Linked DNA regions of Macaca fascicularis. The protein of the gene in region 2 purifies or fractionates together with the protein of the main gene of each other region. This does not show direct contact. Links are inferred from orthologs where the notes say so. Each region holds a gene or a part of one and is shown on either strand. Other genes may lie near its edges.

Region 1 (6,113 bases), on a different chromosome or scaffold from region 2:
GAAAATCACGTCAATATATGCAGAAAAGGCGTTTGACAAAATTGAACACTCTTTAGTGATAAAAACCCTTAGTAAACTATGAATAGAGGGGAACTTCCTCAACTTGATAAAGAGTATCTACAAAAAGCCTATAGCTAACATTCATACACAGTGCTGAGAAATATGAAACTTTCCCACTAAGATCAGGAATAAGACAAAGATGTCCCCACTCACCACTACTTTTCAACATTGTATTAGAACTCCTAGATAACACAATAAGTCAAGAGGAAATAAAAGGTATACAAATTGAGAAGGAAGCATTAGAACTGTCTTTGCTTGTAGATGACATGATTGTGGAAAAAAATGAAAGCATCAACAAAAAAAATCTCCTAGAACTAATAAATGATTATAACAGGTTTGCCAGATACAAGATTAATATACGTAAGTCATTTGCTTACCCATATACCAGCAATGAACAAGTGGAATGTGAAATTAAAAACACAGTAACATGGCTGGGCGCAGTAGCTTACGCCTGTAATCCCAGCACTTCAGGGAGGCCGAGGTGGGTGGATCATCTGCGGTCAGGAGTTCGTGACCAGCCTGGCCAACATGGCAAAGCCCCATCTCTTCTAAAAATACAAAAATTAGCCAGGCATGGTGGTGGGCGCCTGTAGTCTTGCTACTCAGGAGGCTGAGGCAGGAGAATCGCTTGAACCTGGGAGGTGGAGGTTTCAGTGAGCCGAGATCGCGCCATTGCACTTCCAGCCTGGGTAACAGAGTGAGACTCCATCTCAAAAAACACAATAACATTTATATTAGCATCCCCCCACCAAAATGGAATACTTAGGTATAAATCTAACAAAATATGTATAAGATCTATGTGAAGAAAACTGTAAGACTGATTAAAGAAATCAAAGAACTAAATAAATGGGGAGAGACATTTCATGCTCATGAGTGGGAAGACTATTGTGAGGATGTCAGTCATTTCTTCCCAAATTGGTCTATAGGTTCAATGCAGTCTCAGTCAAAATCCCAGCAAGTTATTTTGTGGATATCTACCAGCTGACTGTAATGTTTATATGGAGAAGCAAAAACCAGCATGATATTGAAGTAGAATAAAGACAGAGGACTAACACTACCGTACTTCAAGAATTACTGTAAAACTGCAGTAATCACAATAGTGTGGTGCTGGCAACAGAATGGACAACTAGATCCATGGAACAGAATAGAGAGCCCAGAAATATATACCTTCATAAATATAGTCAGCTGATCTTTTGCAAAGGAGCAAAGACAATACAGTGGAGAAAAGATTGTCTCCAACAAATGGGGCAGAAGCAATTAGATACCATATTGCCTCCCTTACCCCTAAACAATCTAAACACAGATCCTATGTACTTCACAAAAATTAACTCAAAATGGATTAAAGACCTAATTGTAAAACACAAAACCATAAAATTCGTAGAGTATAACATAGGAGAAAATCTAGATGATCTTGAGTTTGTTGATGACTTTTTAGATATAATACCAAAGGCATGACCCATGAAATAAAGAATTAATAAGCTGGACTTTGTTAAAATTAAAAATTTCTGTGAGAGACGTTGTCTAGAGAATGAGAAAACAAGCCACAGACTAGAGAAAATATATGCAAAAGACATACAAAGAACTCTTGAATCTCAGCAGTAAGAAAATAAACAATTAGATTAACCTGATTTTTAAAAATAAGACATAGACCTTAACAGACATCTCACCAATATACAGATGGCATATAAGCATGTGAAAAGATGTTCCACATTGTAAGTCATCAGGGAAATGTGAATTATAACAGTGAGACACTACTACACACCTGTTAGCATGGCCAAAATCCAGAACACTGACAACACCCAATGCTGGCAAGAATGTGGAGCAATAGGAACAGGAACTTTCATTCATTGCTGGTGGAAACAGAAAATGGTACAGCCACTTCAGAAGGCAGTTTGGCAGTTCTTACAAAACTAAACATACTTCTACCATATGATCCAGCAGTGTTGCTACTTAGTATTTACACAACTGAGTCAAAAACTTACATCTACACAAAAACCTGCACCCAGATGTTTATGGCAGCTTTACTGATGATTGCCCAGACTTGGAAGCAACCAGGGTGTCCTTCAGTAGGTGAATGGATAAATAAACTGTAGTATATCTAGACAATGGGATAATCTTCAGCACGAAAAAGGAATGTATATCAAGCCATGAAAAGACAGGGAGGAACCTTCAGTATGTATTACTGTGTGAAAGAAGCCAATGTAAAAAGGCTTCATACTGTATGATTCCAACTCTGTGACATTCTGGAAAAGACAAATCTATGGAGGCAGTAAAAGAAGCGAGAAGAGGAACACTCAGAGCATGAAAACAACTGTTGACAACATTTTACCTCCTTTAATCCTTTTTTCCTTTTCTAAAATACAGTCATTGTGTCACTTTATAGATAATTTTTATTCTGATTTTTAAAAAATGCTTAACTTTGTAATAAAGCATGATCTTTTCTCATTAAACACTTTTCATAGTTTACTTTGAGACTTTTATGAAATGATGGACGTTTCATTTTCCACTTTTTATTTTTGTAAATGTAGGGGTATGCATTTGTAAAAGGTCTTAATAATTAAATGTTGTCATGTTGCTTTCCAGAGAGTGAGCCAGTTCTTTTTTTATTAATTAATTTATTTTTACGAGACATAAAAATAAAATGACAAAGCAGGGTTCTGCTTTGTCACCCAGGCCGGCATACAGTGGTATGATCATAGCTCACTGAAGCCTTGCCTTCTGGGCTCAAGCAATTCTGTCACTTCAGCCTCCTGAGTAGCTGGGACTACAGGGACACACACCACCACGCCTGGCTAATTAAAAAAAAAAAAAAACGCACACACACATACACACACACATTTATGGAGATTGACTTGCTATGTTGCCCAGGCTGGTCTTGAACTTCTGGGCTCAAGCGATCCTTCTGTCTCTGCCTCCCAAAATGTTGGGATTATAGGCATGAACCACAACACCCAGCCAGTGAGCGAATTCTTTTCACAGATTTTATTTTTAAAAAGTCCCCTTTATGAGGCTGTTGATAAGTGTAATAAGATCAATAGCTAAGGGTTCAAATTAAGCAAAATAGCACATCTATCCTTGTAGTTAATCACTATTGTCTGTATTCCTACTTGTCATTTCTTACCTGTTTGATATTCAGTGTTTCTTACTTACTATAACCCAAGTGTGTTTTATTTTATAATCAGAACATAAAGTGGGACAGTAACATTCATCAAAATATAGTATAATAAATCATCGTTTGTGGCTAATCTTGTCTCAATAGATTTGGGATAAAACCAGCCTGGAATGTTTGAAAGTGTTAACGGGACACACAGGCTCTGTCCTCTGTCTGCAGTATGATGAGCGTGTCATTGTAACCGGCTCTTCAGATTCTACGGTGAGGTGAGTGATCTGGCTTCATTGGTCTTAACTTGTAAGCCTTCCCTGAGAAAGTCTGAGATTGACATCCTCCTCTGGGAGAGGCATACACACACTTACATTTTTACATGCTGTATTTCAAACTTTTATTGTAGATATGTTTGAGCAAATTAGGCAGGAAAGCTAATTTTTGTTAAGGGTGTTCTATTCCTGTTGCTGTTCATTATAGAGATGACAACATGCTTTCCTGTAAGAGCATATACCAAGTATTAGGCTGGCTTTCTTCTTTTGGGAAACTGGTCCAGAGCAGAGAGGAGACACTCACTTCCAGGAGTCACTCCCGGACTCTTTCACCACCCCTGCCTAAAGCATCACCACCCGTGCCTGAAGCATCACCACCCCTGCCTGAAGCATCACCACCCCTGCCTGAAGCATCACCACCCCTGCCTGAAGCATCACCACCCCTGCTTGAAGCACGCCTGGTATCCTCTCCTGGACTCAGTGCTTCCGTACCACTGCTTCTGCCAGAGATCATGTCTCAGCCTCAGAGGCCTGAGTCTTTTCCCCTCTGCCCTGTGTGAACTTGTCCTCTTAGGAGATGAGGGTTACAGAAAAGCCATGATGTGGAAGTGCTGCCCCCAGATCCCTGGACATACAAAGCAGTTGGGAGACCCTGGCTTTGTCCATAAAGCAGCTGAGTAAAGAAGTGGATGTGGTGATTGATGAGGCATCATGACTTACCCAGTTTGCAGTGGATAAATAATAGACTCAGAGGTCTGCCAGAGGTCAACAAGAACTGTAAGCTTGGAACCATTCTCAGTTCTTCAGCCAACAAAGCTCCTTCTTCCTTTTATCTCAGACTCAATACAAAATCTGCTTTCTTGAGGAATTGTCTTTTGCCATCAGCATGAGCCTGCAGACACCGTCCCTGAATACCTGACTGCTAAATATACCTAAACTCGAGCAGAGCCAGAATTAGCCACCTTTTCTGAAACCATCTCAGCACTTCTCAACAAATAAAGAAATTGCTTTTTAGGGGCACCTTTTAATCATGCCCTTAGGTTCATTAAGAATGGACCCTGTCTTAGTCTATTTGTGTTGCTATAAATGAATACCCGAGGCTGGGTAATTTATAAAAGAAAAGGGGTTTATTTGACTCATGGTTCTGCAGGCTCTGCAAGAAGCATGGTACCAGCATCTGCTTCTGATGAAGGCTTCGAGCTACTTCTCCTCATGGCAGAAGGCAAAGGCGAGCCAGTGTATGCAGATTACATGTGAGAGAGAAGCAAGAGAGAGGGCGGAGCTGCTAGGCTCTTGTCAACAGCCAGTTCTCTCAGAACTAAGAGTGAACTCCCTCCTATGAGAATGGCACCAAGTCATTCGTGAGGGATCCACCGCCATGACCCAGACACCTCCTGTCAGTCCCCACTTCCAACCCTGAGGATCAGTTTCAACATGAGATTTGGTAGAGTCAGACAAACCATATCCAAGCCATTGCAGACCCAGACAGAACTCAGATGCCAGAATCATTTCCTGGCTATCTCCGTAATTAAGCATCATGCTTTTTCTCTTCTCTCCTAGGGTGTGGGATGTGAACACGGGTGAAGTTCTTAACACATTGATCCACCACAATGAGGCCGTACTGCACTTACGCTTCAGCAATGGACTGATGGTGACCTGTTCCAAGGACCGCTCCATTGCTGTGTGGGACATGGCTTCTGCGACCGATATCACTTTACGCCGTGTCCTGGTTGGCCACCGGGCTGCTGTCAATGTAGTAGACTTTGACGACAAGTACATTGTGTCCGCCTCTGGTGACAGGACCATCAAAGTAAGTATGTCTGCAGTCATAACCCAGCCTCCTCCTGTCCCTTTTAGAACAGAGAGAAAGCAGAGGTGGCTTATACCAACCTGGTACCTGGTAAGATCTTTATTCTCCTCTGTGCTTAGTGTAATGTTTTCAAGGTTCATCCATGTGCTTTGTAGCATCTATCAGCTTTGTCCCATTTTTGTTGTTGTTGTTGTTGTCGTTTTAAGTACAGATGGGGTCTTGCTATATTGCCCAGACTAGTCTTGAACTCCTGGGCTCAAGCATTCCTCGGCCTTCCAAAGTGTTGGGATTAGAAGCATGAGCCACCACACCCAGCCAGTACTTTGTTGTTTCCAGTGGCTGAATAACATTTCATTGTTCTTCTGTTTATTAGTTGATAGACATTTTAGTTGTTTCTATTTTTTCGGCTATTACAGATGATGCTGCTATAAATATTAGTGTAGAAGTTTTCATGTTTTTAATTTTCTTAGGATGGTAACCCTCTGTTTTAACTTTTTTTTTTTTTTTGAAGACAGATCTCACTCTGTCACCCAGGCTGGAGTGCAGTGGCACAGTCATGGTTCACTTCAGCCTTGACCTCCTGGGCTCAAGCCGTCCCTCAGCTCAGGGACCCCTGAGGCTCCCACCTAAGCCTCCCGGCGTAGCTGGGAGTACAGGCACTACCAGGCCCGCCCCCTGCCCTTTTTTTTTTTGTAGAGACCAGGTCTCACTTTGTTGCCCAGGCTTGTGGAACTGCCAAAGTGTTTTCCAAAGGCACTGCACCGTTTTACAGTCCTGCCAGTGGTATGTGGGGGTTTCAGCTTGCGCAAAGAACATCCTTTTCATGACCAGCACTGGAAAGCATTCTTACACCTAGCCCCACAAATCA
Region 2 (6,892 bases):
GTCCCAGCTACTTGGGAGGCTGAGGCAGTAGAATGGCATGAATCCGGGAGGCGGAGCTTGCAGTGAACCGAGATCGCACCACTGCATGCCAGCCTGGGCAACAGAGCAAGACTCCCTCTCAAAAAAACAATAATAATAAAAAACAAAATAAAATAAAGACAGAAAAAGAATCAGAAGTGACATCCCACTAACTCTGCTAGGCAACACTCCATATCTCTGGTCAGATATGTTCATGAGGCTACATATTCTTCAAATTTGTGGAATTAGACTTCTGCCCTTAAGTGGGGGCATAATTAATCTTTTTAAAACTTAGTTTGTCTATTGTTTAGATATCAGACAGACTCAATCTGTCTACATCTTTTCAGAGTCTGGTTCTTGAGATCATATGTTTATTTTAATATAATGTTTAAATATGTTAGACTATAAAATAGACATCTAACTACATATTTTTAATGCTGGGTTAAAATTTGTTGATTAGGATTATCTCCACATTACATTGAGTTTGAAATGATAGGCTATCTAAATTTCAGAATATAAATGCATTTCAATTACTTTCAAGTTTAGGTACAAAACTTAAGCCAGAACAGAAAAACATCACCTAGGGTCAGTCTTGGTTCACTGACTAGATAAAAATTATGTGTAATCAGTACATCAACTCAACAATCTAGAAATTGCTAGCCTTAGTCTGTTATACATACAGTATAATTTTTGTAAATGAAAGATACTCCTAAAACATTTGAAACTTTCTAACACGATGAATTGGCAATTTTTATTTCTTTTCTTTTTTTCTTTCTTTTTTTTTTTTTTTTTTTTTTGAGATGGAGTCTTGCTCTGCTGCTCAGGCTAGAGTGCAATGGTACAATCATAGCTCATTGCAGTCTCGATCTCCCAGGCTCAAGTGATCCTCCTGCCTCTCAGCCTGCCAGGTAGCTGGGGGTACAGGCACCACCACACTGGCTAATTTATTTTATTTTATTTTTGTAGAGACAGGGCTTCCCTAGGTTGCTCAGGCTTGTCCTGAACTCCTGGACTCAAGTGATCCTCCTGCCTTGGCCTCCGAAAGTGCTGGGATTACAGGCATGAACCACTGCACCTGGCCTAACAAATTATTTTTTCTTACAATCTTACTTGCACTATGAATGTGCAAGTAATGATAATAATAGTAATAATAACAATAGCTGGTAAAAGATTGCAGTGCAGGCCAGGTGCTGTGGCTCATGCCTATAATCCCAGCACTTTGGGAGGCCAAGGTGGGCGGATCACCTGAGGTCAGGAGTTCGAAACCAACCTGGCCAACATGGCTTCTAATACATAGAACAGAGGAGATATTCTCATTTCCTGCTTGTGAACAAATTCCCAATTAACACTAGGAAAACTACTGAGTTTTGTTGCAGGGGTCAAAAGTACCCTAAAGGTTCCCAATTTGTGGTGGCATTTGACAGTTCACAGACATGCTACCCCCTGGGCGGTTACCAACAACTGAATCTTATGATTAGCCTCTCAGCCTGGTTACTTCCACCCAATCACCTCCACAAATCACAACCAGGGTCTTCCAGGCTTATCCCTGGGGTGGGGAGAAGGGGTGGGGAGCAGAGGAGATAGAGTTTGTAATTTGAAATGGGACCCCATTTGAAAAAGGTAGCCAATTCCTGTGTGACCATTATAGAAAGACCTAGAACTAAGAGACACCCTTGAAGACCATCATTACCTGTTACCCCTCTTTACCACACAGGATGCACACTGTGCTATGGGGAACACAATCACACAGACAAGGCTGAGTGAGGCAGCACGCTACCGCTCACAGTCTAAGAACAAGAACACCGGCATTGCAATCTTTTTTTCTTTTCTTTTTCTTTTTTTTTGAGACGGAGTCTCACTCCGTCACCCAGGCTGGAGTGCAGTGGCGTGATCTAGGCTCACTGCAACCTCCACCTCTATGGTTCAAGAGATTCTTGTGCCTCAGCCTCCCAAGTAGCTGGGATTACAGATGCCCACAACCACACCTGGCTAATTTTTGTATTTTTAGTGGAGACGGGGTTTCCCATGTTGGCCAGACTGGTTTTGAATTTCTGACCTCAGGTGATCTGCCCACCTTGGCCTCCCAAAGTGCTGGGGGATTACAGGCATGAGCCACAGCACCCCACCAGCACTGCAATATTTGACCAGCTATTGTTATTATTACTATTATTATCATTAGAGACAGGATATCACTCTGTTGCCCAGGCTGGATTGCCGTGGCTCAATCATAGCTCACTGCAGCCTCCAACTCCTGGGCTCAAGTAGTTGGGACTACAGACACAAGCTACTGTGCCAGGCTAATTTTTAAATGTTATGTAGAGACAGGGTTTCACTATGTTGCCCAAGCTGGTCTCAACCTCCTGAGCTCAAGCAATTTTCCTGCCTCAGCCTTCCAAAGGGCGGGGATTATGGGCGCAAACCACTGTGCCCAGTCCAACCAGCTGTTATTACTATTTTTCAGTTAGAAGGAGAAAAAAACAAAAAACAGAGGGATGTGGGTGTGTATGTTTCTTGGAATCCAAGCGATCGGGGGGAAAAATCCGTCAAAAATGTTCTCAGTACAAAAGTTGGCAAAACAACTCTCTTTTTTTAAACTGAACTTTGTAATAGGAGAAATCCTCTCACAAGGAGAGGATGTTTCTGAGCCAAGTTGAAGCAAAAGAAACTTTTTCCAGCATGTCAGGAACGAAGCTGACGTTCCATTAAGAAAAAAAAAAAAAAAAAGAAGAAGAAGAAGAAGTGCTAGAGGAAGGAGTAAGAGGGGAAAAGGCACCAGAATTCAGACGTAGCTTTAAATTCCAGACAGGGCCAGCGTCGGGAGCACGTAGGAAGCGCCCCTCGGAAAGGAGCCGGAGCCCCGGCTGACTTCGCACTTGAGCTCCAGCCCCATGGACATTTCCTGTTCTGCCTCTGGAAATTCAAGCTGAAAGTTACAAAACATCCTTTTCCCTGGAACCAAGTGCTTGGTTGGGAGACCATGCCCTCCCCTTCCTTCCTCGGAACTCCTCCCTGATCGCCCCGCGGCTTCCCCAGGAGAGATGCCAAATCAGCGGTAGCAGGTGGCGCAGAAGGGAGAGGGGAGCGACCCTGGGGACCCCCGCCGAAGAGGTAGGAAACTGGGGACTGCACGTTCCTGAGGCCACTTCACACTTATTGAGCAAAACGAGGTGCTCGTCCTTTAAGCCCGGGGCTGAGGTGTTTCCCTCGCTTGGGTATGCACTGGGTGGTGGGTGGACTGGCCACGAATCTGGAATAAGTTCAGGCATTCCTTTTCCCTCTCTCTTTCCAAGTTGAACTTTAATCCTTGGGTCTCTGGAACCACATATTTTGTTTCGTGTGGGAGGTACTGAAAGGCAGAATTCTAGGAAGTAAATATTGTGAATCCCTGATTTTTCTCTTTTCTTTTCTTTTCCCTTTGCTTCTCTCTTCTCTTTTCTTTTTTCTTTCCGCCCCTGAAATGCCCAGGAGCAGTCATAAATACCTTCATCTGGGAATAGATTCGGGGAGAAGTGAGAAGGGGACAGGGCTGGGAAAAGCATTCTCACCACGGTGAGCTGGGCGCGGCTGTTTCCCGGGACCTGGGCCATGTGTTCTTCTGGCCCAGATGCTCTCTCCCTCCTTTCCTTCCACCCATTGCCTTGGAGACAACTACCTTGAGTTGTTTCTCTGGGTGCAGGGATGTGGCACAGACCCTGGTCAGGGCCCTTAAGCATCAGTGCCCTGCGTTTATGGACAGAACCCAGGTGCTGTCTAAAATGTTTCTGTCTGGGGCAAAGCTAACTGGTCTACCCAGTAACCTGCGTGTAGCCCTTGCCTTCGTGAGGCCCGGGCTCCCGGCAGTCGGTCTCTGGAAGGCCAGCCTTGGCAATACACGTGCTGACATTGGACCTGCTCAGAGAACTCAGCATGGCTTCTGCATAAGGACTACTCAGCTGGGTTCACATTTATTATATACATTTGTTTCTCTTAGAAAATGGCTTTTGAACTTAAAAAAATCTTGTGTGGCTGGGCACAGTGTCTCACACCTGTAATCCCAGAACTTTGGGAGGCTGAGGTGGGCAGATCACTTGAGATCAGGAGTTTGAGACTAGCCTGGCCAATATGGTGGAACCCCATCTCTACTATAAATATAAAAATTAGCTGGGCATGGTGGCAGGCACCTGTAATCCCAGCTACTCAGGAGGCTGAGGCAGGAGAATTACCTAAACCCGGGAGGTGGAGGTTACAGTGAGCTGAGATCACACCACTGCGCTTCAGTCTGGGCAACCGAGCAAGACTGTGTCAAAAAAAAAAGAAAAAGAAAGAAAAAGAAAAGAAAACATCTTGTGATCTAAGGACATCCTCGCTCCTGGGAAGGGATGCAGGTCGCCTTTGTGGCGTTCACCGTGGAGCCTGGGGGCACCTCCTCTTCCCACTTCCAACAAAGCAGCTCCATCCTTACCTGACTTTTATGTCGAGGTTCCCAGTTAAAAGCATGCTTTTAAAACAATTTGCAGAACTGCTGACCTGCAATAAGCAGTGCTTTGCCTAGACTGAAAATGACTGCTTATGGAACAAAGGTGATTGACGGAGGGATTTTTAGCTTGCCCCTGTCTAGGCTCTTACTCCATCCTCCCATCCGCCTCCTTTAATGATCGCCTTCTGCCCTGGGGAACCTGCTGGAGGTGGGAGTGCCAACCAGGCTCAGCGAGTGAGCTGTTCCGTCTCAGGCACCTGACCTCCTGTGCAGGGACAGACAAGGGGCAGAGCCCCAGAGAACTGATAATACAACTCGGCCTCTCTCTCCAAGTCTTTTCTGAATTTGTCCTTCTAAGTGTGCTCACGGTTATGAACTATGTGATCAATAATTGTAACAGCTAATTATTGATCTCCCTTTACGATATCAGATTACTTACTGAGCCAGGCATGGGGCTGAGCACATTACACAGATGAGCTCATGGAATCCTCACAAAGCCCTGTAAGGTAGCTTTTGGCCTGACCCCCACTCTGCTGTGTGGAGTGGAAAGGAAGAGCCACTGAGTGACTGGCTTGAGGGCACCCGGCCACTTAATGGTGAAGGTGGGGCTGGGGCCCCTCCCCCTGAGTCTGAGCCACACTGCCTTGAATATTTTTGCAGCCCTGTTTGACAGAAGTAAGAAGGACATTGTTGTGAGTGTGGCTTTTTTGTATTTTATTCAAGAATGCCCCTGAGAATAGGCTAGGAGGAGCAGGGTCACAGGGCCAGGACGGAATGTTCTGTGGGAAGGAAAAGTGCTCCTAAGAATAAGTGGAGTTAGGATTCTTGTCCAAACTGCATCCCTGATAAACATCACTTTTTTCTCTGAGAGTTGGTATAGTTTTTGTTTGTTTTATTTTTTAGATACAGGGTCTTGCTGTGTCATCCAGGCTGGAGTACAGTGGCATAATCCTAGCTCACTGCAGCCTCAATCTCCTGGGCGCAAGTGATTCTCCCACCTGAGCCTCCCCAGGAGCTGAAACTACAGGTATGCACCACCATGCCTGGCAATTTTTTAAAATTTTTTATTTTTTGCGTAGAGATGGGGATCTCCCTATGATGCCCAGGCTGGTCTTGAACTCCTGGTCTCAAGCGATCCTCCTGCCTCAGCTGCCCAAAGTTTCAGGATTACAGGCGTGAGCCACTGTGCCCTACTGAGGTGGTAAGGTTCAATGGGAAAGTGCCAGGCTCTGTAGCCTGACTGCCTGGGTTCACATCTCAGCTCTGCCACATTTTAGCTTGGTCATCTTGGGCAAATTATACAAACCTGTGTGCCTCAGTTTCTTCAAAAATAATATCCTCTGGAGAAAGATGATAACAACAGTACCTATTTCACCAAGATATCACAAAGATAAAATTAGTTAATCCACATGAAGCATTTAGAATTGCATCTGGCATATGGTAAACATTCAATAAATATGTTATGTGTAAAAGAGGTTGTTGTGTTAACCCAAGGAAAAGTAGCTTGGGGGCAGTCTGGAAATAAGAAGTAACTGGTATTTGAAACTATAAAATGGACACCAACAAATGCAATGTAATTTCAGTTTGAGCTGGGGAGAGGATTGTGCTTGGACCGCAGCTAGGAAGGACCCTGGGAGACAGCCTAGGACCTTCGGGGAAAAGCTTATCTGTTCTTCCAGAGATAAAACTGAAAACAACAACAACAACAAAAACTAGTCTTTAGGGTTGGCATTGCCAAATCACATCCTTGCATTAAATGAAGTAAATGTAGGCTGGGCGTGGTGGCTCATGCCTATAATCCCAGCACTTTGGGAGGCCAAGGCAGGCAGATCACTTGAGGCCAGGAGTTTGAGACCAGCCTGGCCAACATGGTGAAACCCCATCTCTACTAAAAATACAAAAATTACCTGGGTGTGGTGCCAGGTGCCTGTAATCTCAGCTACTCCAGAGGCTGAGGCAAGAGAATTGCTTAAGCCCAGGAGGTGGAGGTTGCAGTGAGCCAAGATTGTACCACTGCAATCCAGCCTGGGTGACAAAGTGAGACTCTGTCTCAAAATAACAAGAAAAGAAAAGAAAAGAAAAGAAAAGAAAGGAAAGGAAAGAAAGGGAAAGGAAAGGAAAGGAAAATGGTATAAGTGTAATTTATTTAGCTTTGTAGTTGTGGAAATGAGTCCCACCTCTGACCTAATGTTATATAAAGCAAAAATATGGTTTTTTCTTCTCTCTCTCTCTTTTTTTTTTAATCAATGTCATTGGCTGAACCACTTGTATTTTTGGAAGGATGACTTTAGGATTTCCAACTGAGATATGAAATTTAAGAGCTAAATGTAGCTTATTTACAACAACAATAACAACAAAAGTAGATCATGACTTACAAAAGAATTCTGTGGTTTTTTCGAAGAACAAATTTGTGAGCTC

The links. The genes of interacting proteins can lie anywhere in the genome.
Region 1: the proteins of TACC1 (region 2) and FBXW11 purify together in Homo sapiens (affinity purification with mass spectrometry; 3 studies listed by BioGRID and IntAct, counting the BioPlex papers as one, with this or other methods). This does not show direct contact. The link is inferred for Macaca fascicularis from reciprocal best matches to the Homo sapiens genes TACC1 and FBXW11.

Annotation. Positions count from the first base shown.
Region 1 is NC_088380.1:178,666,119-178,672,231, reverse strand, and holds part of FBXW11 (F-box/WD repeat-containing protein 11), read left to right. Parts: intron 1-3,319; coding exon 3,320-3,438; intron 3,439-4,995; coding exon 4,996-5,245; intron 5,246-6,113.
Region 2 is NC_088382.1:42,126,890-42,133,781, forward strand, and holds the start of TACC1 (transforming acidic coiled-coil-containing protein 1), read left to right. Parts: upstream 1-3,049; 5' UTR 3,050-3,126; intron 3,127-5,377; 5' UTR 5,378-5,501; intron 5,502-6,892. UniProt on the Homo sapiens protein: Involved in transcription regulation induced by nuclear receptors, including in T3 thyroid hormone and all-trans retinoic acid pathways. Might promote the nuclear localization of the receptors.